5 linked regions of the Oryctolagus cuniculus genome follow. The protein of the gene in region 1 interacts with the protein of each later gene in a biochemical or structural test. Links are inferred from orthologs where the notes say so. Each region holds a gene or a part of one and is shown on either strand. Other genes may lie near its edges.

Region 1 (5,240 bases):
CAAATAATTGGGCTATCTTCCACTGCTGTCCCAGGCCATAGCGGAGAGGTGGATAGGAAGAGGAGCAGCCGGGACTTGAACCAGCCCCGATATGGGATGCCGGTGCTTCAGGCCAGGGCATTAATTTGATGCGCCACAGCACCAACCCATGTTTATTTTCTTTAAATAAGTTATAAATACAACAATTGCCTTTTGTTTCAATCAGATAAAAAAACAGATTGTTCTTGGATTAAAACTACGTTTTCGGGGACATAGGCACCTGTTTTGAGTCCTGGCTCCTCACTTCCAGTCCAGCTCCCTGCAAATGTCCTGGGGAAAGCAGTGGAGGTGGCCCAAGTACTTAGTTTCCTACTACCTAATTGGGAGACCTGGAAGAAGCTCCTTCCTGGCTCCTGATGGCCCAGTTCTGACTTTAGTAGCCATCTTAGGAGTGAACCAGCAGATGGAAGACTCACTCTCTCTCTTTCTCTTTCTGTAACTTTCAAATAAATAAATAAATAAGTCTTTGACAAGAAGATTTTAAAACTACATTTTTGAACTTTTGTTATTTTATATCTATAAACAACCTTCCTTTTCATTTTTGTCTTTTGTGACTTTTTTTTTTTCCAGACTTATTTATTTATTTGAAAGGCAGAGTTACCCAGAGGCAGAGAGAGAAAGAAAGTCTTCCATCTGCTGGTTCACTCCCCCATGGCTGCAACAGCCAGAGCTGGGCAGATCCAAAGGCAGGAGCCAGGAGTTTCTTCCAGGTCTCCCACACAGGTGCAGGGGCCCAAGGACTTGGGCCATCTTCTATTGCTTTCCCAGGCTATAGCAGAGAGTAGGATCAGAAGTGGAGCAGCTGGAACTTGAACCGGCACCTGTATTGGATGCCAGCAATACAGGCGGTGGCTTTACCTGCTACGCCACAACACTGGCCCCTTTTGTTACTTTTTATACTCAGATATTCCTATGCCTCTACAAGTATAAATACTTACTAAGAAGTGCTATCTCATTGAATCAGATGTCCTTTTTTATTTTTATTTTTTTTTTAAAGATTGATTTATTTTTGTGAAAATCAGAGTTAGAGGTCTTCCATCTATTGATTCACTCCCCAGATGGCTGTAGTAGCCAGGGCTGAGCCAGGCTGAAGCCATGAGCTTTGTCTGGATCTCCTGTGTAGGTGGCAGGAGCCCAAACGCTTGGACCATCTTCTGCTTTTCCCAAGCCATTTGCTGGGAGCTAGATTGGAAGTGGAGCAGACGGGACACAAGCTAGCACCCATATGGGATTCCGTGCACCGCAAGTGGCTGCTTTAACCCACTATGCCACGATGCTGGCCCCTCAAGTGCACAGCTTATTGTATGGTGTCACTGATAAAAGACATACAGAAATACCGTAATTTATTGATTAGATTGAGTAGACAGAATTATTCTGTCTTGCTGTGCTGTCAGCTGCTGACGCTCTGCCCTCTGATCGCCTTGATTCCATGGACATCCGGGTGCAGAGTGCGCTGGTGAGCTCTTTAGTTCTCTGTTCTCACGCTGGATTCTGCGCAGGCTGATCTCTGCCCCGAGTGCTCCTGCTGTCGATTCTTGACAGTCAGATCTCTGTTCCCCTGGAAGCCTGAACCAGAGGCCGTCTCCAGCAGCGCTAGCTACTCACTCCTGTCCTGTTCCTGTATTTCTCTGTGCTTAGCATGCAGTTAGTGGTGTATGGACAGAGGCTGAGCTTCTTGAGGGCAGGCCTCTGCTCTTAGGGCTTCTCTGTGTCTGCTGTCAGCAAATACCTGACACCCAGCAGATGTCAGTAAGTGTTTGTTGAATGACCAGGTGAGTGAATGGAGAGACCCTTTGTGAGGATACTGTTTTGTGTGATGTAGCTTTCTTTAAAATGTGCCAGGGAGACGGTGGCAACAGGCTGACACTGCTGTAAGGACATGCTTCAAGGCCAGGCGGACGTGGTGAAGGATTATTGTGGTTAAGGATTCTATTACATGAAGGCAGAAGTTAGATTATTCTAAATTCTTGTCTGTAATTAAATAGCTTTTATTAGCGCCTAATTTTTTTATCTTTTTTTTTTCCAGGAATTGTTGGATAAGTATTTGATAGCCAATGCAACTAATCCAGAGAGTAAAGTCTTCTATCTGAAAATGAAGGGCGATTACTTCCGGTACCTGGCTGAAGTTGCATGTGGAGATGATCGAAAACGTAGGTATATTTGGTTTCAGCTAAAGCCAAAATAAATAAAAGGCAGTTGGTGTAAATGGGACACTGTTCCAGTGCTCTGTAGTCTCCAGACTCCTTGTAACTTTGAAAACAAACAAAACTCTGAATGATATGGATCAATAAAATGAATATTTATCTTATTTTCTAAAAATAAAAGTAGGGGATCCAGCGTTGTGACGTAAGGGCTTACGCTGCCACCTGCAACACATAGCTGCTGACTCACTTGTACTCTGTGCACTTGGGAAAGCAGTGGAAGATGGGCCAGGTCCTTGGGCCTCTGCAGCCACGTGGGAGACCTGGAAGACGCTCCTGGTTTCTGGCTCCTGGCTCCTGGCTCCAGCCTTGCCGAGCAGCAGCAGCTGTGGTCATCTGGGGAGTGAACCAGCGATGGAGACCTCTCTCTCCCTCTCCCTCTCCCTCTCCCTCTCCCTCTCCCACTCCCACTCCCACTCCCACTCCCACTCTCTGTAACTCTGTCTTTCAAATAAATCTTTTTAAAAAATGAAAATAGGCACAAATGTTTGGTACAGTGGTTAGGATACTGCTTGGGACACTCATATTCCGTTCTGGAGTGCCTGAGTTCCAGGGTTCTAGATTTCTTTTTCTTCTTCCTCTCTCCCTCTCTCTAAGATTTTTTTTATTTACTTGAAAGTCAGTTACAGAGAGAGGGTTTCTGTCCGCTGGTCACTCCCCAAATGGCTACAACGGCCTGGACCAGGGCAAAGCAAGGAGCCAAGAGATTCATCTGGGTCTCCCTCATGAGTGACAGGAGCCCAAGTACTTGGGTCATCTTCCACTGCTTTCCCCGGGCCAGTAGCAGGGAGCTGGATTGGAAGTGGAGCAGCTGGGACGCAAACTGGTGCCCACATGGGAGCTGGTGTTGTAGTCAGTGTCTTTACCCGCTACACCACAACACCAGGCCCTGGGTTCAAGTTTTGACTCCACTTCCAATTCTAGCTTCCTGCTGTTGCATATCCTGGGAGGCAGTGTTGATAGCCTAAGTACTTTGGTCCCTGCTACCTAATATGGGAGATCTACATTGAATTCAAAGCTTCTGTCTTCAGCCTAGCCCAGCGTTGGCTGTTGCAGACTTTGGGAAGTGTATCAGAGGGTAGAAGATCTCCCTCTGTCTCTTTGCACCCAAATGGGATGGCAGCGCTGCAGGCGGAGAATTAACGTACTGCACCATGGCGCCAGCCCCGGTGTTGCAGTACTTCCTATAGTACTTTAATACTGAAAACAGGGAATTATGGAAGGGATCTCAGATTTCATGTAAAATACATTTTAGGAAAAACCATGCCTGGACGGTGAATAATTTGTTCCATGGTCACAGTAAGCTTGAGTGACCCACATGACTAGGGCTTACTTTACAGGACCTCTTTGATAAGTAATAGTCATATAAAAAGATTTGAATTTTTTTAAAGATTTATTTATTTTACTTGAAAGTTACACAGAGAGAGAAAGAGAGGCAGGGAGAGAGGTCTTCCATCTACTGGTTCACTCTCCCAATTGGCTGCACTGACCGGATCTGTGCTGATCCAAAGCCAGGATCCAGGAGCTTCTTCCAGGTCTCCCACGTGGGTGCAGGGGCCCAAGGACTTGGGCCATCTTCTACTTCTTTCCCAGGCCACAGCAGAGAGCTGGTTAGGAAGTGGAGCAGCCAGGACTTGAACCGGCGTCCATGTGTGATGCCAGCACTGCTGGCAGCAGCTTTACCCACTACACCACAGCACCAGCCCCTAGATTTGAATATTAAATACCTTTTTTTAACCCTTAGACTGTTACAGAAAATGTAATGGGGGAATAATTGAATCACCTGATTTGATTATGGGAACATCAAAGTTTATTTATAGTAAACTTAAGTCTCCTGGGTTATTAGGAGCTGAGCATAGTACAGATCCTAAGTTTTGTGTATGTGCCTGTTAGTAGATTTGTCAAGTTCTAGGTGGAAGTGTTGCTGAAATTCTGATTGTTTTCCCCAGTGAATTTGTGGTGTTCTTGGTTCTCAGTTCTGCCCCCATCCAGTAACATAGCTGCACAAGTAGATACCAGTGCGACTGAAGCCATAAAGAGGAAACCACTGTACTTGCTCTAACATTTGTGTACAAATTTACTGTTACTGATAGAGAGTTTTTGTTGCCACAAAGGTAAGCAGAGTTGGAAGTGAAAATACTGGCACAGAACTGAGCGTGTAAGTGCCAGCGAGGCAGAGGACGTCTTACTAGGACATTCCTGGCTTGAGGCCGACCTCGGCCCTCTGTCTCGTGGGCACTCTGAGCTCCTGCTTTCAGTCCCTCGGGTGCCATCAGCTGTCTTTCCAGCTGAGCTGACCGCTTCTGCTCTGTGTAGTCCCTCCTTAGATGCCCACAGCAAGAGCCACTTACTGTGGGAGTTGTGATTAGATCAACAATGATGCCGTTTCAGAGGAGGGAAAGTGCACAGTCAAGTCATAAAGGGGTTGCTTAATTTCTGCTATGTCATTGTCTTCAAAAAAGCTGGGGTAGATCCACGGCCTTAAATAGAAAACAAACCCTTTCAAAACAAATATAATCAAGTTCATGTTGGTAATGCTTCCTAATTATTTTTTTTTTAATTTATTTATTTGACAGTCATAGTTACAGACAGAGAGAAGGAGAGACAGAGAGAGAGGTGTTTTATCCGCTGGTTCACTCCCCAAATGGCCACAATAGCCTGAGCTGAGCCGATCCGAAGCCAGGAGCCCACAGCCTCTTCTGGGTCTCCCACTCGGGCACAGGAGCCCAAGGACTTGGGTCATCCTCCACTGCCCTCCCAGGCCATTGCAGAGAGCAGGATCAGAAGTGGAGCAGCCAGGACTCGAACCAGCGCCCATATGGGATGCCAGCACTGCAGGTGGTGGCTTTACACTGCGCCACAGCACTGGCCCCTCCTGAGCATTTTTTGAGGGAGGCTACTCAAAGCAGATTTTGCTGTATTATTGGCACTTTATATTGCCTCACCCAGAGCATCGTAATACCCAGAGCGTCTGTTTGCACAAATAATGTCACAAAAATA
Region 2 (5,960 bases), on another chromosome or scaffold:
GAGGAAACACGATGCCCTAAGACGGCGGGTGTCTGCTGTAAAGGACCAGAGAGCAGGCAGCCCTCGCTCACCCGCAGTTCCTGTCGTCTGTGGCCAGCCTCGGCCCACATGCCTCACAGAAAGGTCCAGGCGGGCCGGCGCTGTGGCGCAGTGGGGTAAGCCACCATCCGCGGTGCCGGCATCCCAGCCGGGCTCGAGTCTGATCTGGCTCCCTGCTAGTGCACCGGGACCCTGGTGGGAAACGGCCCAAGTCCTAGGCCTCCGCCCACATGGGAGACCCAGATGGCGTTCCAGGCTCCTGACCGGCCATCTGGGGAGTGAACCAGCGGATGGAAGATCTCTCTTTCTTTCTCCCTCTCTCTCTCTCTGTAACTCTGCCTTTCAAATATACAAATAAATCTTTAAGGCCGGCGCCACGGCTCACTGGGCTAATCCTCCACCTTGCGGCGCTGGCACACCGGGTTCTAGTCCCGGTCGGGGCGCCGGATTCTGTCCCGGTTGCCCCTCTTCCAGGCCAGCTCTCTGCTGTGGCCAGGGAGTGCAGTGGAGGATGGCCCAAGTCCTTGGGCCCTGCACCCCATGGGAGACCAGGAGAAGCACCTGGCTCCTGCCATCGGATCAGCGCGGTGCGCCGGCTGCAGCGGCGGCAATTGGAGGGTGAACCAACGGCAAAGGAAGACCTTTCTCTGTCTCTCTCTCTCACTGTCCACTCTGCCTGTCAAAAATAAAATAAAATAAAAAAAATCTGAAAAAAACAAAAAACAAAAAACAAATAAATCTTTAAAAAAGTAAAAAGGAAAGTCTGGAAACAATTCCTAGGTTTTAGACAACTTTTATTGTATTATAATTTGCATTATAATTTTCCTTTTCGTGGTTAGTTAGTAATGCCATGTGCCTAGTTTACAATTAAACTTTGTGGCAGGCATGCTTGTATAGGAAGCGACATCGGAGTTCAGTGCCGCCCACGCCTCACGGCACCCACAAGCCAGCACCCTCTTACTGGGTGGGTGCTCCTGGACACAGTTCAGGGCTTTTTTTTTTTTTTAACCAAAACAAACTATATTATTTATTTTCAGTTTCTCTTTTAAAAATATTTATTTTTATTTGATTTGAAAGGCAAAGAGACACAGAGGGAGAGACCCTCCGTCAGCTGGTTCCCTCCCTAAATGCCTACAACAGCCAGGGCCGGGCCTGCAGAGCCCAGGAGCCCACAGTGAGCTTGGGTCTCCCGCGTACCTGCGCCGCCCCCGGCCGCCTCCCTGGAGCGCAGCCAGGACTCCGCAGGTCCTCTGACGGGGCGCAGTGTCCCCGGGGCCGAGCCGGGACTCCGCAGGTCCTCTGACGGGGTGCAGTGTCCCCGGGGCCGAGCCGGGACTCCGCAGGTCCTCTGACGGGCCGCAGTGTCCCCGGGGTCGGCTTCACCACGGCGCCACATCCACCCCTATTCCACTTAATTTGAGAAGGGGGACAGATCTTCCCCTGGCTGGCTCATTCCCCAAAAGCCTGCAACAGCTGGCGCTGGGCCAGGCTGAAGCCAGGAATTCAATCCAGGTCTCCCAGGTGGGTGGCAGGGGCCCCGTACTGAGCCATCCCGGGTGCACCCCGGCGGAAGCTGGATGAGGAACCAAGCAGCTGGGACTCCACCCAGGCACCCCGATCTAGGCTGCGGGTGTCCCAGAGTGACTTCACCACCGCACCGAGCGCCTGTTCCCGGTGTAGGTTTGTGGACCACGTAATCTTGGTGACAGTCACTCGCTTTTGTGGTCTGGGCTTCAGGGAAGCCATAAACAACATGTAAATGAAGGCACCGTGCCGTGTGCACAGACACCTTCGGGACTCCGAAATCTGAGTTTCATGTAATTTTCGTGTGTTACAAAATACCGTAGCTTGGATTTTTGTCGGCCACTGGAAAGTGGGGAAACCACCCTCAGCTCACGGGGCTGCACACAAACAGGAGTTAACCTATGGCCACGGTAGGCCCCGCCCCGCCCTACGACCAGCCCTGTCCGGCCGCCTACCCAAACCTTCGCTAGCCCTGCCGCTGGACTTGACTGAGACGCACTCCAGAGGCCTTGGCGTGGCCTTCCGGGCCCTCGTGTTCGCGCCTGCCCTCTGCGGGGCCCTGGGAGCACCCAGGCGTGTAACACGCCTGCCGGGTAACGCGACAAGCACAGAGGCTTGTGACCCGGCCCTGCCTCCACGCCCACAGCTGCTAGCACTTTCCCTACTAACTGGGAACCCCGAGGCGATCACAGCCGTGGGCTCGCGCGGAACCACCCTGCACCCCACAGCCTGGCCCAGTGGCTTCCCCGCTGGCCTGTCCCCTCCTAGGCTGAGTGTGCTGGGCGGTGGGCAGGGGCCCAGGCACCTGTGTGGACCTGGTATGGGCGACCAGTTGCTTTGGGCCGGCTGTCTGCTGTCTGCCCTCCTCCCGCAGCCCTCCAGCCAGGCTCCTTATCACCATCACCGCCTGCAGGCCATTCTCGGCCCCCCCCCGCCCCCCCATCTGGCTGCTTCTGGGGCCTTCACACCCTGCCGGCCTCCTCTGGGCCGGGAGACGCCCTTCTCCTCCCTTCTCGGCTGCTCTCTCCCTGCTTGGCCGGGGCCTCCAGTGCTGGGGCTCCACCTGGGCCCAACCCTGGTCCCTGTGCTCCCTCCCCGCCCTGCGTGCCCACCTCTGTCAAGGCAGCTTCACGCTCTCGGGCCCAGTGCCTGGGCGCCGCCGTCCTAGGGGCCTCCCTCTCCCTCGCAGCAAGGCCCCGTGGGCTCTCCCTCCAGGGTACATCATTTTGTGTTCCTGCCCCTTTGCGGGGGGGGGGGGGGGGCGGTGACGCTGCTGATGGGGAGCGACTGCCAGGTGGGGGTGGAGACCAGGTGGGGGCTGTGAGCACCAGCTGGACGCCGTGCGGAGAGGAACAGAGGGCGGCCGAGCTCGGGCGGGCGAGTGGTGAGTGACCGGCCTGGCTGCTGTTCCCGGATCTCCGTGGGCCGCTCCAGGAGCCTCCTGAGCCGTGCTCCTGGCCTCCCAGGGCTCTCGTCTAGCCCCCCACCCCGGCCTGCTGCCTGCCACGCCACTCACCTGGGCTAGGCGAGCCTCCCCTTGGGTGTGAGCAGAGGCCAGGGAAAACACACCCGGGAGCTAGAAGGCCCATCCCAGGCCAGCAGAGCAGCCCGGGGCAGAGCCTCCTGGAGTGTGACCTTAGGCGAGTCACTTCCCCTTTCTGGGTCACTGTCCACCTCTCACTGCACTGTCCCCGCCCCACCATAACAATGACTTTTTTCCTGGCCATGTACGGTATACCGGATTGATAACCCAGTGTTTCCTCCATACACCTGCTCGGCAGCCCAGCACTCCTGCCATGGTGGTAACCGACCGGTCAGTGTTACAGAAGGGGAGACTGGCTCAGAGGGGGCCGGGCCTTGCCCAAAGCCCTCAGTGAGTCGCGGTCAGCATGTGGGCAGCCACTGCTGGGCTGGGGCGGCAGGGGGGCGGTTAAGGGGCACTGGCGCTCCGCAGTGGGACGGAACCTACCTCCATGGTGGCTGCTGCGGCTCGGCTGCCGCTGCTGGTGACTGGCGTCCCCCCGGGGGCCTGAGGGCCGGTCCCCTGTGGGGCTGGGGCCCAGGCCCCTCTCGGCAGAGCTGGAGTCTTCCTGCTCACTGGGCTCAAACTCTGGGATCTGGAACATGCTCTGGGCTGTGGGACAAGACAGCAGGGCGTCAGGACACAGGAGGGGCAGACGGTCGCTGTCGGGGACGGCGGCAGGTGCGCCTGGCTCCCCCTTCCACCCCGGCACCCCGAGGCCCCCTGGGTCTCCCCAGGCCCTTCTCTCTCTAGGCCTGGCCCGGCAGGGGCACCCGAATCTCGGCATAGAGTTCTGGTGCTGTAGGGGCAGCCCGGGGCCCTTACCCAGGCCCCAGCCCGACCCAAGCCGCCGGGGGGCGACGCCGCACAGGCCTCACCCCGCGCCCGGCCGAGGCCCCCGACCCGGCTCCGCCGCCTCCCTCCAGGACCGAGGGCGCCCAGCCTTCGTTGCCTGGGCAACGGGAACTGTCAGCGGCCCGGCCCAATCAGCTCTCGAAGTGGAAGCCGGGTTGGCCCGGAGGCGGGGCCGCCTCCACCCGCGACCTGCCCGGGCCGCCGCCTTCCTCCTCGGTCCCCCCGGGCCGCCCGAGGCTCCGCTCCTGACTTACTCACGCCCTGGGCGTGTGTGGGAGCAGGTGAGGGAGCCCCTGGGGTCCCCGCGTGGGACCCGGAGGCCCGCTTCCGCCGACGAGCCCCTCGGGGCCCCCCACTGCGGAGTCGGGGCGACGGCGGCGAGGCGCCTCTCCCCGGGAGCCAAGTACAAGACACTCGTAAACAGTGGTGATTACTGTAGGTGAAAGGACTTGGCAAAGCCGCCAGCGAAGCTCCGCGGTCGGATGCAGTTGTCGTTGCTATTGTTACTGTTCCGCCCGCACTGGGCGACCCGGGCGGGAAGTCCCGCTCCCTCCTCCTCCTCCTCCTCCTCCCCTGCGTGGAGGCCTCGGGCGGCCCGCCGGAGGGCCTGCTCCTCGCGCCGTCTCGGGATCACTCGAGATAAGGCAGGGCACCTCCTCCCCGGCAGGATGAGGGCCCGGGCGCGGGAGAAGGGACAGGGGCCCCGGTGAGGGCGAACCGTAGGCCTCGAGGGGCTCCGCGTCTGGCAGGCGGCGCGCGGGCGGCCGGCCAGGTGAGCGGGGGCCGCGCGGGCCAGGGCGAGGGGCGCGCCAGCGGCCCTGCGGGGCAGCTTCGGGGTCCCGCGGGTGGGGGGCCGGGGGCGGGGCCCGGAGGCCATCTTGGCTACGGGCGGAAGTTTCCCTCGGAGGCTGAGTGAGGGGGCGCCGTTGCCGCCTCCGGCCGGGCGGCGCAACACTGATTTGGGGATGGGGGCGAGAGGTGTAGGGGCTCGCGGCCCTCCACAGACAAGCCAGGTCTGGTGGCGCAGGGCGCAACCCGGCCGGGCGCCCCCCAGGTACGGCGCGGCCCCCGCCTCTCCTCCGCCCGCCGCTTCTTGTAACCCGGGGCGCCCGCCGGCGGCGCACCTCGCGCCGATTCTCCACTGAGTCTACGCCGGGCGCGGCGCGGGGCCGCAGAGCTGGGGCCGGCCCCTGCGCAACTGGCGTAGCGCACGGCGCCCGCGCAGGCGCAGGAGGGGGCGGAGCGGCGGGAGCCGGGGTGCCCGAGCCCGGGGTCCCGGCGACCGGAGCCGGCTCCCCCGAGCCGCGCACGGCCTGAGGACTTGGCATCGGCCTCTTCCCGCCTCCCGCGGCTGGGGAGTGGACGCGGTGGGAGGGGGCGGCGTCCGGAACCCGGAGGACACAGGCGGAGGCCCCGGCCCCATCTGGATAATTTTAGGGGCGAAAGCCCCTCCCCCCCAGCTTGGGGAGAGGGAGAGCGAGGCTTCGGTCGCCCCCTGCAGCGGCCGCTGCCCGGAGCCGATGGGCCTCGGCCGGCTCTCCCCCTCCTACCGGGACGGCAAGAGAGACCCAGGCCAGGGACGCCCCTGCACCCTGCACCCCGCATCCCCGGCTCTGGGGCCTGCCGAGGGAGGGAACACCCCCGACCCGGCCTGCCCTGGAGGGGAGAGAGATGGAGTGAGAGGCCCGTCAAGGGCGAGAGTCTCTCCTTGAGGAGGAAGGGCCTGCCACACTCCACTCCCGAGCCCTGCACCCCCGAATACCCGCGGCTCTGTATTTATTCGCCCGGCCCCCTGTCTCCTGGATTCAGGCCCCCTCCGTGCCATGGAGAGTAACCTGTCGGGCCTGGTGCCGGCCGCGGGACTGGTGCCTGCGCTTCCGCCGGCGGTGACCCTGGGACTGACGGCCGCCTACACCACCCTGTACGCCCTGCTCTTCTTCTCGGTCTATGCCCAGCTCTGGCTGGTGCTGCTCTACGGGCACAAGCGGCTCAGCTACCAGACGGTGTTCCTGGCGCTCTG
Region 3 (6,012 bases), on another chromosome or scaffold:
TCTCCCATGGGGTGCAGGGCCCAAGCACCTGGGCCATCCTCCACTGCACTCCCTGGCCACAGCAGAGAGCTGGCCTGGAAGAGGGGCAACCGGGACAGAATCCGGCGCCCCGACCGGGACTAGAACCCGGTGTGCCGGCGCAGCAAGGCGGAGGATTAGCCCAGTGAGCTGCGGTGCCGGCCGCTATCCTATTTTTAGGAGCACCTCCAACACTGGGCTTCTAGGTAAAAAAGAAAATCCAAACCTTCCCTTAAAATACATTCTCTTAAGAATTTGACTAACACCAAAACAAGAGCTAAAATCTAAGGAGGGAAGTACACACTACTCGTGAAGTTTTTCCAGAATCCAGGGGTCTTTCTAGGAACAGCTAAAGCTAGGGTTCCAGTGCAGAATATAAAGAACTTCAGTAAAAAATTGAGGGACAGGCTATTGTAGCACAGTGGGTTAAGCTGCTCCTTGGGATGCCTGTATCCCAATTGCAGTGCCTGACTCTTCTGTGCTTCTAACCCAACTTCCTGCTCATGTACCTGGGGGGCAGCAGATGATACTTTGGCCTGGCCTAGCCTGGGCCACTGGGGGCATTTAGGGAGTGAACCTGTGCATGGAAGATCTCTCTCTCCACATTTCAAATAAATAAGTAAATCTTTTAAGAAGTTAAGAAAGGCTTTTTTTCTATGTATAAATTTAAAAGCAGTGAATACATACTTTTCTTTCCTGTCCAAGGGCCCAGGAGAATCCAGACAGAAACCTGTGGAAAATTAAAAAAAAAAAAAAAAAAAAAAAAAAAAAAGTGAGGAAATAATACACAAATTCCATTTTGTTAAAATACATAGATAACATTCTCATAATATATATACATGAATCCCCTTCTACTGGCAATTGCCATCAAAGGAAATAGAATTTATGGAGGGTGAATTAAACTTATTCACATCATGCATAGTTATTCAAAACATACTGTATTTTCCTGGAATAGTTTTGATTTCAAGTATTTTGTCTCATCAAATTATCCAAGTAATTCTGAGGATTATAAAGTACAATTATGGAACAGACATTTGGTGCAGCAGTTAAAACACCACCAGGGATGCCAGTATCCCATAGAGTGCCCAGGTTCAAATTCAAGCTCTTTTTCAATTCCAGTTTCCTGCTAATTAGCATCGTGGGAAGCAATGGTGATGCCTCAAGTAAATTAGATCTGCCATACACATGGAAGACCAGAATAGAGTCCGTGGTTCCTGGCTTCAGCCTGGCCCAGCCCTGTCCTTAGCAGGCATTTGGGAAGAAGTGAATGGAAGAGCTCTCTGATTTCAAATACATAAAAATAAATATTTTTTAAAAGAAAAATATATTAATCATCACACAAGGCAGACATTGGCTGCCTTTAACAAAATGACTCCAAGAAAGGTGTCCATCTCTCCAAAAGTAGTAGGGTGGAGGAGACACTGCTCAGTACTACTTCTGTGCTAGCTAAGACCCACCAGCACATGCCAAGCTCACACCGCTCCATGATGCTGCCAAAGCCTTACAGATTAGGCATTAGAACCGATACTCTCACCTGTCTACTTCCACAAATAAGAATCTCATCTCCAGTTCTTAAGTCTATACTACATTTTATGACGTTTGCCTTTGCAAGTCCTAAAACTAAACATCTGTACCCTAAATGCTCTTATCTGTGCATGCGGTAACCTGAATTTAGGAAATTGAAAAAAGCACCCTTGTTCATTTCCTCCATAGCAGGATCACTGACTTCATTATTCTTATAATAAGTTTATCCTAATTTCTTAATGTTTATTTTTTCATCTACTAGAAAGAAGGAGACAAAAAGAATAGATATCCCATTTGCTAGTTCAGGGACTCAATCCAAGCCTCCCACAGAGGTAGTAGGGGCCCAAGCATTTGAGCCATCACCTGCTGCGTCCTAGGAGGAAGCTGTCATCCTGTGTTTTTCTGGACTTCACTCACTGAGGAATGGTGAATGTTAAGTCATTTTTCCAGGGCAAGCACACACACCACCTCCTTATACACACTCGATGCTTGCTTTAGGAAATTCCCATGTTGCTCCCCACAGAACAGACTGGCAAAGACCCAAGGAATACCTGAATCCGTTGATTCGGAGGAGCCCATTCTCTGCAGACTGCTGTTCTTCACCTCCAGTGGCTGCTCATACTCGCTGAAGACAAGAAAAATAATTGCACATGAGCGATTTCTAGGACAGCACTAAAAGGCCACATACAGGAAACAGGCCATGAGGTTAACAAGCAGCCAGTCTGGCATGAATTACCATCACTTCTAGGCCACACCACAGAGCCCTTCTTGCCACTGGGAACACCCAGTTAGCACCAAGCAAGGGAGGGAAGAGCGGGTGGCTTGGCCCCTGGCCACATTGCAAGACACGATGACTATGGCAAATGGGGAGCTATTTCCTGAAATGAGAGCATGTGTTCTAGGTACTGTGCTAGAGATAACTGAAGAATGGGACAGGAGTTCCTGCTTTTCAGGGCTTGGGAACCGTGAACGAGACGGCTCAGAATATGGTATACCAAGACTGAGGGGAAAGCAGCCTCGTCAGAAACAGTGTGGGACGCGTTTGTTCCTCCAAGGAGAAGCCTAGCGAGCTATGGAAAGCTGGATGAGACAGGAATTAGGAAAGCAGAGGGATCAACATGAGGAAAGTGCGCGGGCGAGGGACTAGGACGATGTTTTTGCACAAATACCCGGAAAGGAAATGCCACGTCCCTTTGTTGAGAAGAGAAAGCTCGCAGGAAACTAAGATTCTGTGAGCTGGTTCGGGAAGGGCTGGACTGAAGCGCCTGCGAGGGCCAGCCCTTCCCCCGTACGGGTGTATTCCGCAGAGCTTCCCGGGAAGCACAAAGCCAGTGCCGGGAATTCTCAAAGGGGCGACGAGGGTGGGGGGTCCCCGGCCACAGCCCGGGCCCAGCCCCGGCTGAGGGCAGCCCTGCAGGGTCGGAACTGCCTCTCCGCCCAACATTCTGCCCGGCGGGGGCAGGGTGCACATGGCGGGCCCCGGTCCGACAGCCCCCGAGCGGCGGGCGCGGACCCGCACGACCCGCCCGGCTCCCGGTCCGTTTCACGACCCGATCTTCCCGGCAGTGGGAAGGCCTGTGGGAGGCCAGCGGCCTCGGGCACCGCGCGTCCGCACCTCCTCACCTGCCCAGTCCCTGCAGCTGATCCATGGTGACCGTCAGGTTGGTGACAGGCGACAGTCCCCCGGCGGCTGGCGCGCCAAACAGCGTCTTCACGACGGGCTGCGGCGTGGGAGGGGGGCTGCAGGCGAAGAGCAGGCGGCGGCGGTGCGGGGGCTCCGGGCCCAGTTCCATGGCGGCGCCCGGACTCCCAAGGCTCCCGCTCCCTCTCTGTCCGCCGCGCCTGCCCCGCTCGGCCGACACCGGCTTCGGCCGCGTGCCCCGCCGCCGGCGCCCACGGGTCAAACACAAACACGACCCCGCGGGTTCAGGGACGCAGCCGCGAACAAGCGGAGCGGACGGGCGGTCGTCCGGACCGGGCAGGTGCCAGACACAAGCACGGGTGCTTCCCTCTCACCCCGCGAGGCGAGCCGGCGTGCGGACCGCAGCAACCTGAAGATCAAATCCAAACAAACTCGGAGGCCCGAGGAGCAGCAGGCAAGTTCCGCAAGGTAAGGTCACGCTCTTAGCTTTTTTCTCTTCCCCTTACCCAGGCCGGGATCGCAGAGAACCAGGCCGACCTCCAGACTGTCGCAGCCGAGGTGGCTTTCGCGGTAATAGCTGCTTACAGAGGGCCGGCGCTGCCCCGCCCCCCTTTCCTAGTTGGCGCCAAACAGAATCCACCAATCAGGAAGCAACTTCTCCGCCTCGCGTCCGAATGGCAGCCAGGATGGGCCAATGAGAAAGGAAGAAGGCCGCAGCTCGCGGGACTCTGCGAGGTCTTCCGCTCTCAGAAGGGGGCGGGGCCTGCAGCTGATAGGAGGGGCTCAAGATGAGAGGCGCCTCAGAGGTCAATGAAAACGCCCAGCAGAACCTTCGAGGTGCTGGTCGCGGCCGAAAGACGCCCCCTTGCCCTGGTGCATGCTGGGAAGTGTAGTTCCTTTCCAATCGCGAGCAGCGGTCCAGTGATTTCGTACCCCCGTTTGGCCACCGACACTTCACCCTCTAGCCTCGCGCCCCACACCCCGAGGGGACTTGGGGGCTAGAGAAAGCTATTCAGACCCAGCCCGGTCTCTACCTCTAACTGTACAATACTGTGGACCCCATTTTTTCCCATGCCGGCACTGCAGGCGGCGGCTTTACCCACTACACCACTGCGCCGGCCGCAATCCATGCTTTCTTGGAGACTTGCCTGAAGTGCCCTTCTCACCCCTCACCCACTTCACCCAGCTCACCTTCCTTTTCTCAAGAAAAGTTTGATATCCTGACTGAATCAGAGGGAATCCCTGTTATCATCCACCCCATCCCCCATTACCGGGAGGGGGGGACCGCGGGGGGCAACGCATGTTCACATTTGTTTCTATTATTGTTTAATCAGGTCAAAGTCTTCAGATTACTATTAACTCAAAAGGGTAAGAACCTTGACTTTTTTTTTTTTTCCTATCACCTAATGCCTGGTTCCGGGAAAGGCCCTAATATCTGTAGATTGAGTGAATCCGTGCTGGGAAGAAAACGTGAGTGCTTAAAGGGTCTTTAAGAAGGGAATCTGATTGGTGTGGTAGGTCAGGAAATGACCAGCAGGATGAAGCCTTAGAAGGTGCAGCCTAGGCTCTTCCGGGAGAGACAGGCCTTAAGCAAGAGCCTGGGGAAGAAGGGGGTCCCTGGTGTGCAGCAGTAAGTGGGTGAGGGGCAGTTGGGAGGCAGTCAGGGCCCAGGGTTCAGACTCTGCAGGGCTGGAAAAACACATTTTGGAATTCGGACTTTTTCTAAGGGCAAACAAGTAAAAGGTTTACATTTATATGTTAAAAAGATAAACGCAGCAGAGTGGAGAATGCAGTGGAGAGCAGCAAGGGCAGAGCTGGGGAAACCAGTTTGCAGGGGATCACAGCAGTCCTGTTGGGAAAGGGTGGGACTTGAACTGGGAGGGGATGATGTGGAGGGAGAGAGGTGGGTGGGGCTTGGCTTCCATTTGTCAGCGGTGAGGGAGCTGGGCCACAATGGTGTCCTTCTGTTTGGTGCCCCAGCAGGCTCCCCAGTTCTTTCCTGGCAACCACAGAAGCTTCACTTTATTTTGTTTAAAGAGGCAGAGAGATCCCATATGCATTTGCGGGTTCACTCCCCAAGCGCCCACAGTGTCGAGGGCTGCGCCAGGCTGAAGCTGCCAGCTGGGATCTCAATCATTGTCTCCCATATGGGTGGCAGGAACTCAGTTACTCGAGCCGTCACACCGCTGCCCAGGGTCTGCATTGGCAGGAACTTGCTGTTCTGAGCCGGAGCCAGGTATTGACCCCAGACACCCCAAACAGGACATGCATATCTCTTTCTTGTAAGCTATATTTATGTATGTATTTGAAAGGCAGAGAGTCAGATAAAAGGGGAGAGGGAGAGAGAGCTTCCATCTGATAGTTGACTCCCTAGATGCCCACAACAGCTGAAACTAGTCCAGGCCCAAGCCAGGAGCCCAGCTACCCTGGGCATCCTCTGCTGGCCCCTGCCGCCGGAACCCTCAGGCTGTTTAGGTTTCTCTGCTGTTATTGTTCACATGGTCAGTGATCCCTCCCCAAGGTAATCCTTTCCCCTGCTGAAGCTCTGAAAACTTTCTCTCCTCCTATTTGGTATAGTTTAGTATTCTCAATTAACTGTGACTGAAACGCACCCAGGGCTTAAGATAGAAATGCCATCACTCCTACCCTCAGGGAGCTCCCACCTGCCAAGCTTAATCTCGGCACAGGAATCATCTCCATGATAATGGCTGCCTTCAGAGGCCGGTGGTGAGGACTTGGAGGTGGGGTCTGAAGGGGAAGCTGAGGGAGAGGCAAGGGAGACTTTCCAAAGAGCTGGGAGGTGTGGTTCTCTGGATCAGGGGGATTTA
Region 4 (5,940 bases), on another chromosome or scaffold:
ATACATTGTTACATATAAAAAAAGCAAGACTAGACTTTTCAACAAAACTAAAAGATAAAAGAAATATTTAGTTATATAATTCAGTAGTAACCAGGGCATATTATCCTAAAATGAAAGCATTTTTGTTGAATCATCATCAAAATTTTTCAAGTACAGTCATATGTTTACTACTTTTTAAAATCGACCTAATTAAAGAAAACTACAACTTAAGTTCTAAATAATAAGAATTTAAAGATGAGTGTCGCAGGAACAGTGTCTCTCTTATTCAGCCTGTGTACTTCAGTCGTTCATCCCATGAAAATGTCCCAGAAATGTTGCTGAAATCAACTGAACTGTTAATACTTCCAAAGATTTAAGCTATGATGACCAACGACAGAATTTAGGGAGTTCATGAACAAACTGGATGCAAAACTTCTTCACACAATTTAAAACAACAAAAGAGAAGGGCTCAGAAAACCAAGGGACCCTGCCTTTGTGAACCACACGTGAGTCTGGTCTACATAATACATTGTAAATAAGTTCAAACTGTCAGCTCTCTCCTGATAAACCATCACCCCCCCCTTCTCCCATCCTTTATCTTTCTTTCTCTCCTCTGCCATTTGTCCTCATGGTTGATGTCTTCATAAGGTACTTCAAGAAGAGTGGAAACAGAGGACAAAAGGGCCTCCCCTACCTCTGAACTCCTCCTTCCCGCCACAGTGACACACTCTACCATTCCTACCGTCATAAAGCAGATTTCTATTAGCCTGTGATGGACTCATACGGCTCCCACCTTGTTTCTGGCTGGGGTAATAAGGTATCCTGCAATAGATGACAGAAGACAGAAAAAAAAATCCTCTGTCTAGATCCAACACCAAGAACATATTTATTTAGTGTTCCAAATATAAGTAATTCTCAGATTCACATATGTAAATCTCTGCAATAATCTTCAACAAAAAAATCAAAGTGAACTCCTTCTCTTGGCTATTGCAAGCAAACTTCTCAAACTTTTCTTTTGAGACAGAACTACCGGAATAAATGCAAAAGGAAAGGGCTGCCCTTCGCAAATCAATTACCAAGGACTGCTGATGTTCCCTTTCCAGTATTTCTCCAAGTCTCTCCCCTAGAGTCTTGGCCCGGGTTCTAAGCAGCTCACAGCAACAAACTCCAGTTTTCTTTCTGTTGCAATATGGCTGGCATTCCATAGCACCCTCCACACAGCAAATCCATGGCTCAGATGTTCTTGGGATGATTTCTCTATGCGAGGATTACTGAGTTCATTTTAATGTCAAGGCCTTCTCTAAATACCCTAGACCCCACCCCGAGTCTACTGCAATCCAGGGGTGCCTGCAGCCCCTCTCCCTTTGACTCACCTCACTCTTTCCATATGACATCCCTCTTGGGAGCGACCCAGATGCAACTCCCAACCTCTTAAACCTTGATTGTTTCACCTCATCCTAAATTCCATTAAGGTGTGCGTGTGTTTTAAAGCTGGCAAACAAAGTCTGTCCACATTATTAGACTGCATTTAAATATTCTGTCACCACATCCTTGCGTTAGATAGCCCTTGTCTATATTCCTGCTGAACAATGGTTTTCCCACTGTGATGTAAATTCTAAATGTTATTGCAAAAACTGAAGGAAAAGGAGAAAAGTGTTACTATATTCTTGGAATTGTATCTGAATTACATGAAATCTGTTCTCTATATATATAAATAAAAAGGGGAAAGAAGACTTCCACACACTAATAAATAAATAAATAATAAATAGATAAGAAATCACAGTTCCACAGAGCTGCATGTTTTTTGGAGAAATGTTATTATCTCCAGTGTGTCTGTGCTTGGGCAGCACTGCATTTCAGTGAACTCTTACACACTCTAACATGGAGATGCTGTGGCCACACTCTGATCAGGTAAGGCTATTGATGCCTAGGGGAGTGCTCCCGCTCTCCCATAACCCACACTCCCTGACACTGGGGCTGGACACAAACATTGCATGGAAGCTGCAAGCAATTGAGAATCACACATGCACTATAAAGTGCCACTCCTTTCACTGAATGAAACTTGCAGGCACTCATGGTTACCTTTGTCTGGCCTTCAGAACTTTCACAACTTCCCAGATTAGTGATCTCCCCCCCCCCCCCCTTAGGCTTTCCTAATGTACCTGAGCTCAGTGTGTCACAATTCAAAACCCTCCAAGTTTGGCAAACTCCATTTCAAATAATTTTCAAGAAGGCAATTCCTGATTATTCAGGAGAGCACTGCAAGGCAGTCCTAGCCAAGTCCTCCAGGACTGAAATCCAGCACTTTTAGTGCCCTCTGTCTCCGCCCCCAAGCCCTGGCTGACTGTCCTGAGAAGACTGGCGCCAAGGCTCCCACTAGCTTATACCCCCACCGCCCCTTGCCAACCTGAAAATCAGACTAGCAGTGTAAACAGAGGTGGGCGCGGAGTCTCCCCCAGGGTGGCCTGGTCCAGGACCAGGGCCCTTTTCTAGCCTGCCCTTGATGGCCGCCGTGGAGAGGCCCACAGTCTCGGACTTGAGGGCACTCAGCCTTGAGGGAGTCCCTGGACATCACCCCAACACTTCAGTGTCCCACTCTCTATGTGCCAGAAAAATAAGCCGCAGCTCCGCGGCTTCGTCGTTGGAAATTCTGTCCCCACGCTCTTACAGAGGTGGGACCAAATGACCAAAAGGACTTGGGTAGTTGGGGTCCGCTCAGTTGTTTTCACAGCTGGCCAAGCCAATCCCCCTCTCTTAAAAGCCCAGTTGACAGGTGAGAAATTCCTCGCGCCCAGGTCATTCCAGGAACCCCTCAGCGGCAACCTGGGCGTGGGGGGACGGATCTAGAGGGGAAGGGAGTGGTGCTGAAGCCGTGCGGAGCTCGTCCCGGCGGGACTTCGGGCCGGGAACGCGCCGGTCCAGGCTCCGAAGGGAAGGCTGGGGGGCGGAGAAGGGAGTGGGTAGGGAGCCGGCAAGTCCCAAGGGTGCGCAGGAGCGCGACGAGAGCAGGGTAGGATGCGTGGACATGTCATGGGACGGATGGAAATGGGCAGAGAAAGGACTCAGACAGGCGAGAACCTGGGGATTCGGAGAGCATGGGGGCGCCAGGGCAGAGCAACAGGGAGCGCGATGCCTTGGGCGCGGGCGTCCAAGTCCGGCTGGTCGGTGCCAGAGGCTTCCTGAGCGCCGGCGAGCCCAGCTCCGGCCGAGCCCCCGCAGCCGGAAAGTTGGCGGCGAGGGTCGGGGAGGGCAGCGCCCCCTGCGCCGCGCGGCCGGGAGGCCGGGAGGGGAGCGGCACGGCGCCCTACCTTTTGGTCGACGATGGAGCAAGCCATCTCGCGGACGTGCGCCAGGCTGTAGTCCCCGGACGAGTCCTGCAGCAGCAGCACCGGCTCGCGGCTCAGGCCGATTTGTAGATGGAACGAGATGCCCCCGGCCGGGGCCGCGACCGGAGCCAGGAAGGGCGCGGGCCCCGGCCCCGACCCCGGCACCAACGCGGCGGCCGCTGCTGCCGCGGCCGCCGCCACGGGCAGCAGCGGGCTGGGCGGCCGCAGGAGCGGAGGAGCGCTCATCGCTCGGCGGGGCGGCGGGGCCGGGCGGCCGAGGGCGGGGGCCGAAAAGTTTTTGCGGCGGCCGAACGGAGAGCTTCTTTCTCGGAGAGCCGAGACGGAAAATAAAAACTTTCCGGAAAAGTCCCGGCGCGGGGGGAGGGCGAAGGGATGAGGCTCTGGAGGGGAGGGGAGGAGGAAAAATGGCCGAGGCGGGAGGACTGTGCCGCCGGGAGCGCGGCCACCGCGCGGGGGAGGTGCCGCCGCCGCCGCCGCCGCCTCCGAGGAGCAGCCGCCGCGGCGCGCTCGGGGCCCCGGGGCTGCGGGTCAGCGCGGTCGGGCGCCGGGCGGGGGCGGGCGAGGGGCGCGAGGGGCGGGGAAGAGAGCTGGGGGCGGGCACTCCGGAGCCACCACCAGGCGGGCGCTGGAGCCGCAGGAGCCGCGGCCGCAGTGGCCGCAGGGTGCCCGGTCGCCGCCCCCTCAGTCCGAGGTTCCGGGGGCCTGAGCCTTGGCGAGCCGGGACAGGACCGAGTGGCGGGGCTCAGGGCCACCACGGAGGGCGCGGCCCGTGCCTCCCCTCCGGGTCCCCCGTCTCTGCAGCCCCCGCTCTCCGGGCCGCCGACTTGAGGGGCCCGGGAGTCGGGACGCACCTCCCCCTCCCGGTCTCCGGGGCTGAGAGCTCCCCCGGTCCCCACAGTCCCCACAGCTGGTGCGGGGGCACCGGGACTGCGCCCTTCTGAGTGGGGCGACCTTTGAGGTATTCAAGACTGCCAAACCCTCGGGTTCCCCGTGGGGTTTCCTTCCGAGCCTCGAGGAGGGGATGGAAATAGCGGTTCGTGAGGGAGCCACTCAGATCCCGGCGCCTCGGGGAGCCCTCGGGTGACTACCGTAGAGAGTATAAATCCACAGAAGTGTATTTCGGTGTGCCTACCTTTTTGTCTCTCTCTGTGTCACACCTTTACGTCCACCCCAGTCCTGAGAACCCAGACGTGGGCGAGCAGCTGAATTCACTGGATGGGCCTTTTGGAAGAAAAGGCACCGTCTGCGAAAGGCCAGGGGGTGGGTCTGATGCGGCCTCTTTCCCTCTACTCTCTTTGGCTGGAGCTTCCGCTTTGGAGCCCCAGAAACGATTTTCCTTCTTCTTCTGTCAGTCTCAAGTGTACTTTTCAGGAGTGGTGCTCCCAGGTTCTCCCCTGCACCACCGCCATCACTAGAACCGCCTTCAACATGGAGTACAACCTGCTCGCAGAGTTGTTTCTTGCTTTTGTCGGGTTGGGGGCTGAGAGTCGTGCTTCCCAGTAGTGGGAGATGAGTTTCATTCCCGCCCGCCCCCCCCCCCCCACCGAGGATGGGTTTCATGGGTGTATAACAATGCACTTGCGCAGGGTCCAGCTCTCATCGGGATCATTGGGGTCCTGCTCAGTCCCATGCTCTGCTATCATTGCTTGGGAATTCTTAATAATATTTGAAGAAGGGTCTTCACAGTTGCATTTAGCAGTTGCCCAAGCAGTTTATGTACTGTAGTGTGTCACTTCTCCACTTCCCTGGTACTTCTCTAACATACCTAAGCAGCCTATTTCGTATACTTTCTTTCCTGGGTCGTTACTTTTTTTTATTTTTTTCTATTATCTTGACCTGTGGTTCTTGCCCAAGATATTGCAAGGTGGTTTCTTTAGAGCTGTATCCCCAGTATAGATAATGCGGTCTTCTGCACCCCTGGCTACACTGTGTTGTTCGCTGCTCTAGAAGAGATTTGAATGTACTCTGGATTGATAGTTTGTTAGAATCTACATATATGCGTTGGTGTTTCTCCTGCTTACTTCTTTATGAGCTCGTCCTCTTTATTCTTCATGTTAGAGTATCATTTTCTTAGTGTGCCAGACTCAGTCACCTAAGCCAGGACAATGAATCAGTTCTTCCTGATGCAATAGCCGTCTCACTTCTCTAGGGATTTTCTTTTAATGTCAGAAAAGATATCTCATTTTCTTCCAAAGTTTGAAGAAAGGCAATATTCTGCAATTTCCTATTACTAGGAACAAAGTTCCTGTTCAGAAGGAATTTATAAAAAGCTAGCTTCAGTTCAGATTCAGGAGAGCTAGAGCTAGTCATGATTTGTAAATATAACAACTAGGTGCTGAGATTTTTCCCTGTTCCAGACCCCATAGGTAAAAGTTGTGCAGCTTTCAAGACAACTCAAACGTATCACATTGAAAAGAAAAAAATAATTAGATTATTTCTGATAGTCATAATTGCAATGAATAAAATTAATGCCATAGTAAAAAGAGTAGCTTGTGGGGAGGGAGTAGAGAAAGAGGCACTACTTCGGAGTCAGCATGAAAGAAGGTTTCACTGAGGAGTTTACACTTAAAAAATCACCAAAACCTGGATGCTGGGTGGAAAGGGACAAGTCTTA
Region 5 (4,276 bases), on another chromosome or scaffold:
AGCTTTGTTCTGGGAAGTATTGGGCCCGGCTGTAGTCCGGCCTCCAGGCCCAGAAACCATCTTCAAGGGTTCCCAAGGGTGACTCCCTCAGCACCTCCCCACATCCTGTGTGTTGGGAGGGAGCAGTGTTTTTCTTCTGTGCTGATCTTGAAAATGCAACCCTTGGGGCAGCTTTATTTCTGATAGGTAGGGTGGGTCGCCTCCTGAGGCACAGCCCCCCTCCCCCCCCCATCCCTCCCAGCCGGTGGCTGGGCGGTGGCTGGAGGGTCAGAGCCAGACCCTTGACTGCCGAGAATGAAAGGAAACAGCACCGGGGCTGGGCAGAATGTTCAAAGTTGCTCCTCTCGGGTGGGACTGGAGCCTCCCCTCTCCTTCCCCAACCCTGCAGCGCCACCCCACCCCCCACCCCGCCACTCCCTTTCGCCAACCTCACCCAGGGGCGAGGTTCGGGCAGCGAGGGAAGGGACGCGGGTGCTCGCGACCCCTCCCTCCAAGCTGCGCTCCCCTCCTGAGCCTGTCACCCTCGGGAGGTCGCCGCTTCCCCAGGGAGACGGGGTGCGCTGCGTACCCCCCAGAAGGGGTGCAGCCCTTTGGCCTCATTCCAGGAAGACAAGGGCTCAGCTGGGAGGTGATTAGGTAATTAGAAGATGCCCAATTTAAACTAATGACAGATTCTACAAAGAAACGCCAGTTGAACAATACTATGCCATTGATACCAAGTGAGCCAAGCCACCATTGTAGGTTCTACTTCCATTACCGAGTTCTCTGGTCGCTGGCCCCTTCCTTGACGCCCCGGGTCCAGTCCAGCCGTCAGAGCCTCCCCTGGACTGCTAGAGAAAGCGGGGCCCCTGGCGGCCTCGGGCTCCCACCGGCGTCCCACCGCCTGCACTGGGCGTTCGGTCCACGAATTACCCTTTGGAGCTGCTCCGCGCTGCCAGACGCTGGGGCAAGGAGCCGGCGGGGTCAGGGGCGTCGGGCAGCGAGCGAGGGCTGGTCCCACCACTTTCCCAAATGCATGACCTTGAACAAGCCCATGAACTTCACGCCTCCACATCCGCGTCTGTGAAATGGGACGGTGAACGCAGCCCGCCCAGGGCCGCCGTGCTTGGCAAACGTGCCGGATCCTCCTGGGGCTCGCGCGCGATGTTAACCCCGGGTGCCTCTTTTCCGGACCCCCCTGGGGCCTGTGGCCCGCTCTGTCGGTGGAAGGTTCCACATTAGGTCCCAGAGCGCGGGATTCGGGGGGTCTCCACCTCGCGCCCGGGTTGGGGGTGGCGGGTGTGCAAGCCGTGGGATGGACCCCAGTTCCTCCGCCTCCCCCGAGGCTGGAGCTGGGCGGGCCGGGCTGGTCCAGCCCCCGCGCCTCTTGCTTCGCGGGCCCCGCCCCCGGGCCCGCCCTCCTCTAACCCGCGCCCCCATTGGTGGCGTCCGGCGGCGCGGCCGCTGTTATTTTTCGAATATATAAGGAGGTGGAGGTGGCAGCTGCAGTCAGAGGCTTCCCGGACTGGTGCTTGAGTCCCGCGCCCCTCACCCCTCCCCACCCTCCCCGCATCCCTCTCCTCCCTCACTCCCAGTCCCACTGCTCTTCCTCCCTCCCTCCCTTCCCCCAACCCCGGGCCCGCTCCCGGCCCCAGGCCCTCCACCCGCCCCGCCGCGATGGAGGTGCCCCGGCCGGAGCCTGCACCATGCTCGGCCCTTAGTCCGGCCGGCGTGCGCGGTGGCGTCCAGCGTCCGGGCCACCTCCCGGGCCTCCGGCTGGGGTCTCATGATCTCCTGGGGTCTCCGGAGCGCACGGCCGCTTCCTCGCCGGTCACCACCCTCACACAGACCATGCATAATCTGGCGGGGCTCGGCAGGTAGGACGCCTCCCAGAGGCTGGGCGTGGGGTGAGAGACCAGGACGGGGTCCTTCGGCTCCAGAGGAACCGCGCGTGGGAGTTGAGCACTACAGGTGGGGTGGGGATGCGGCCGGGTCAGCGCAGAGGGAGTCCCTACCCCTGCTTCAGGGGCCCTGGGCAAGGGGCATCAGACCCTCCAGGTGACCCTTTGGTCTGCGCAAGCCTCCAGGGACCCTCCTTCCCCTCCCCCTCCCTTACTGTGACTCGGCCACGGTGCCCCCCCCCACCCCAATCTCTGTCCGCATCTCCTCCATTTTCCCCAGGCGGGGAGATATGAGCCGGGAGGGGGAAGTTGAGGGTGGCAGAGCAGTGGGGTTCTCACAGGCCCATGCCTCTGCTCCCTCCACCCTGCTTCTGCCCCCAGGGTTCAGGTCATTAATCCTAATCCTGTTCCCTAAGCAAGCCTCAGGGGCTGGGCTGACTTCCCCCAGCAGCCATAGAGACCCAGGTCTCTCTCTCCAAGGAGGCCCTGGGATGGGTAGGGGTCTGAGGAGCAGAGGGCTCCCAGGGCTGCTCTCTCGGCTGCCCCACTGACCGCCACGCCAGCCCCCAGCCTCTTTGCCCTCGCCCTGTGATCACTTGCCCTGCACCTGGGAGGGCCTCTCCTAAGCCTGCCATCCAAGAGAAGGCACTTGGTGGGCTAAGCCTCCTTGTCCTGAGGAGCAGGTGGGCCCTTCAGAGCTGGGTGACTGAGAACAGGGAGGGCCTGGAGGCCTGCATTTACCTCTCTCCTTTTCTGGTACCCCCTTCCCCTCCCAGTGAGACCCCAGAGGCTCAGGCCGGGAGCCTGCTCTTCCGAAGCCGGCTGGCGCGTCTGTCCCTGTCACGGCGGGCATCCGAGTCTTCCTTGTCATCTGATTCCTCTGAGTGTTCTGATGCAGGTGAGGCCCCACACGTGGTTGGGGAGGTCTGAGTTTGGGGGGCTGCCTGGGCTGCTGGATGCCCTGCAAGGTCAGATTAACATTCTTCCCACAACCTGGTGTGCCCGGGAGCCTCCCTGCTTGGCCTGCAAAACTGGGAGGAAGACACACCTCTGGCGGGACCCACCCACCCAGCCCGGGCTGGTGGCCGGGTGGGGCCCTCTGTGGGAGGGGAGATCTCACCTATCCGAAACCAGGCACCAGAGTCCTTAAACCACACATACAGCCCCACCTGGGAGCCGCGGGAGCCTGCGAGCTGATCTGTCTACAGCATTCTCTGAGTCTGTAACTTTAAGAAGCCGTGATCTCTTCTAAAACAAATTATTTTAAACCAGTTCATGAAAAAAATGCTTAGCAAGCACTGTGGTTTTAAAATGTATAGGACAGGAGTTCCCATAGTAACAGGGAGTGGAGCCCTGTGTTGTGTGGGGACAGCATGTCAGCTCATGGCTAGGTTCTTGTCTCATTTTTTAAAGTGTGTCCAGATGGAAAGCAGAAATAGGGCTTCCTCCCCTTCCTGGGACATGCTGGGGGGAAACAGGTAGGGAACGTCACCCCTTTCAAACCCAGGCCCTCTGTCCCCACAGGTCTCTGCATGGATTCGCCCAGCCCTGTGGACCCCCAGGTGGCAGAGCAGACGTGAGTAGATGCCGGGGACCCCTACACAAAGGAGTCGCCACCTGCCTTTGGGAATCCCCGTTCTAGCAAAAGCTCGCTGGAGAGCTCTGGGAGAGTGGAAGGAGTCCTCAGGCCCCACAAAGAGGGCTCGGTGACCTGCCTTGGCCTTGGGCTTCGGCTTCCTGTCTCAGAAGTGTCTGCTTTCAGAAAGCTGGCTGAAAGTGGACGGGGGCCAGGGGTGGTGGGGACAGTGGCCCCTGGGAGCAGTGGGTACTGGACCCCAGCTGGGCCTTGTCCTATGGGAACATAAGTCCAATGTGTGTCCTGTTATCCTTTGTTGCTTCTACACATTGTTTTAAACTAGGAAATAATCACAATTTAAAAATATGTTCCAACTAACTCAGTGCTTTAATTCACTCTGTGTCAAACACAATACAGTTGCTTGCAGACTGATTGGGCCTTAGGCCCATCAGCAACCTCTGGCTTCAGACACTTGACCCCTGGCCAAGCCCTGGACCAGGTCCTTTGTGAGAGAGAGGGAGTGGACAGAGCTGGTGGGCTCTGCTGTGGACAGATACCTCCCCGTCGTGGCGGGGGGGGGGGGGCAGGAGTAATGCCATCCGCAGCACAGCTGTTCCCATCCAGCTGTTAAGACCCAAACAGGTGGAGCAGCTGCCAGCCATTAGTAGGGACAGCTGAGCATCCCTCTCCTGGGCTGGAGGTCTCTGGCTGTGGGTTTAAGGCATCAGCGGCTATGACTGCTGTTCCTCCTGTTGCCTTTGATCAGACTGGGCTGGGCTGCAGAGTTTGTTCACAAACAGGAAATGGGGAGAGAATTGGG

What was found.
Region 2: the proteins of YWHAQ (region 1) and BAD form a complex in vitro, tested with the Homo sapiens proteins (2 studies listed by BioGRID). The link is inferred for Oryctolagus cuniculus from reciprocal best matches to the Homo sapiens genes YWHAQ and BAD.
Region 3: the proteins of YWHAQ (region 1) and CDC25A form a complex in vitro, tested with the Homo sapiens proteins (2 studies listed by BioGRID, with this or other methods). The link is inferred for Oryctolagus cuniculus from reciprocal best matches to the Homo sapiens genes YWHAQ and CDC25A.
Region 4: the proteins of YWHAQ (region 1) and PRKD1 form a complex in vitro, tested with the Homo sapiens proteins (2 studies listed by BioGRID). The link is inferred for Oryctolagus cuniculus from reciprocal best matches to the Homo sapiens genes YWHAQ and PRKD1.
Region 5: the proteins of YWHAQ (region 1) and CDC25B form a complex in vitro, tested with the Homo sapiens proteins (2 studies listed by BioGRID). The link is inferred for Oryctolagus cuniculus from reciprocal best matches to the Homo sapiens genes YWHAQ and CDC25B.

The regions. Positions count from the first base shown.
Region 1 is NC_091433.1:192,533,510-192,538,749, forward strand, and holds part of YWHAQ (14-3-3 protein theta), read left to right. Parts: intron 1-2,065; coding exon 2,066-2,189; intron 2,190-5,240. UniProt on the Homo sapiens protein: Adapter protein implicated in the regulation of a large spectrum of both general and specialized signaling pathways. Binds to a large number of partners, usually by recognition of a phosphoserine or phosphothreonine motif.
Region 2 is NC_091432.1:7,035,974-7,041,933, reverse strand, and holds the start of BAD (bcl2-associated agonist of cell death), read right to left. Parts: upstream 3,690-5,960; coding exon 3,533-3,689; intron 3,377-3,532; exon of another isoform or gene 3,229-3,376; intron 1-3,228. Other genes in the region: integral membrane protein GPR137, read left to right, coding at 5,764-5,960. UniProt on the Homo sapiens protein: Promotes cell death. Successfully competes for the binding to Bcl-X(L), Bcl-2 and Bcl-W, thereby affecting the level of heterodimerization of these proteins with BAX. Can reverse the death repressor activity of Bcl-X(L), but not that of Bcl-2.
Region 3 is NC_091441.1:100,773,231-100,779,242, reverse strand, and holds the start of CDC25A (M-phase inducer phosphatase 1), read right to left. Parts: upstream 3,740-6,012; 5' UTR 3,336-3,739; coding exon 3,166-3,335; intron 2,168-3,165; coding exon 2,094-2,167; intron 749-2,093; coding exon 706-748; intron 1-705. UniProt on the Homo sapiens protein: Tyrosine protein phosphatase which functions as a dosage-dependent inducer of mitotic progression. Directly dephosphorylates CDK1 and stimulates its kinase activity. Also dephosphorylates CDK2 in complex with cyclin-E, in vitro.
Region 4 is NC_091443.1:45,414,048-45,419,987, reverse strand, and holds the start of PRKD1 (serine/threonine-protein kinase D1), read right to left. Parts: upstream 3,693-5,940; 5' UTR 3,552-3,692; coding exon 3,288-3,551; intron 1-3,287.
Region 5 is NC_091442.1:29,126,603-29,130,878, forward strand, and holds the start of CDC25B (M-phase inducer phosphatase 2), read left to right. Parts: upstream 1-1,476; 5' UTR 1,477-1,656; coding exon 1,657-1,856; intron 1,857-2,656; coding exon 2,657-2,778; intron 2,779-3,404; coding exon 3,405-3,456; intron 3,457-4,276. UniProt on the Homo sapiens protein: Tyrosine protein phosphatase which functions as a dosage-dependent inducer of mitotic progression. Directly dephosphorylates CDK1 and stimulates its kinase activity.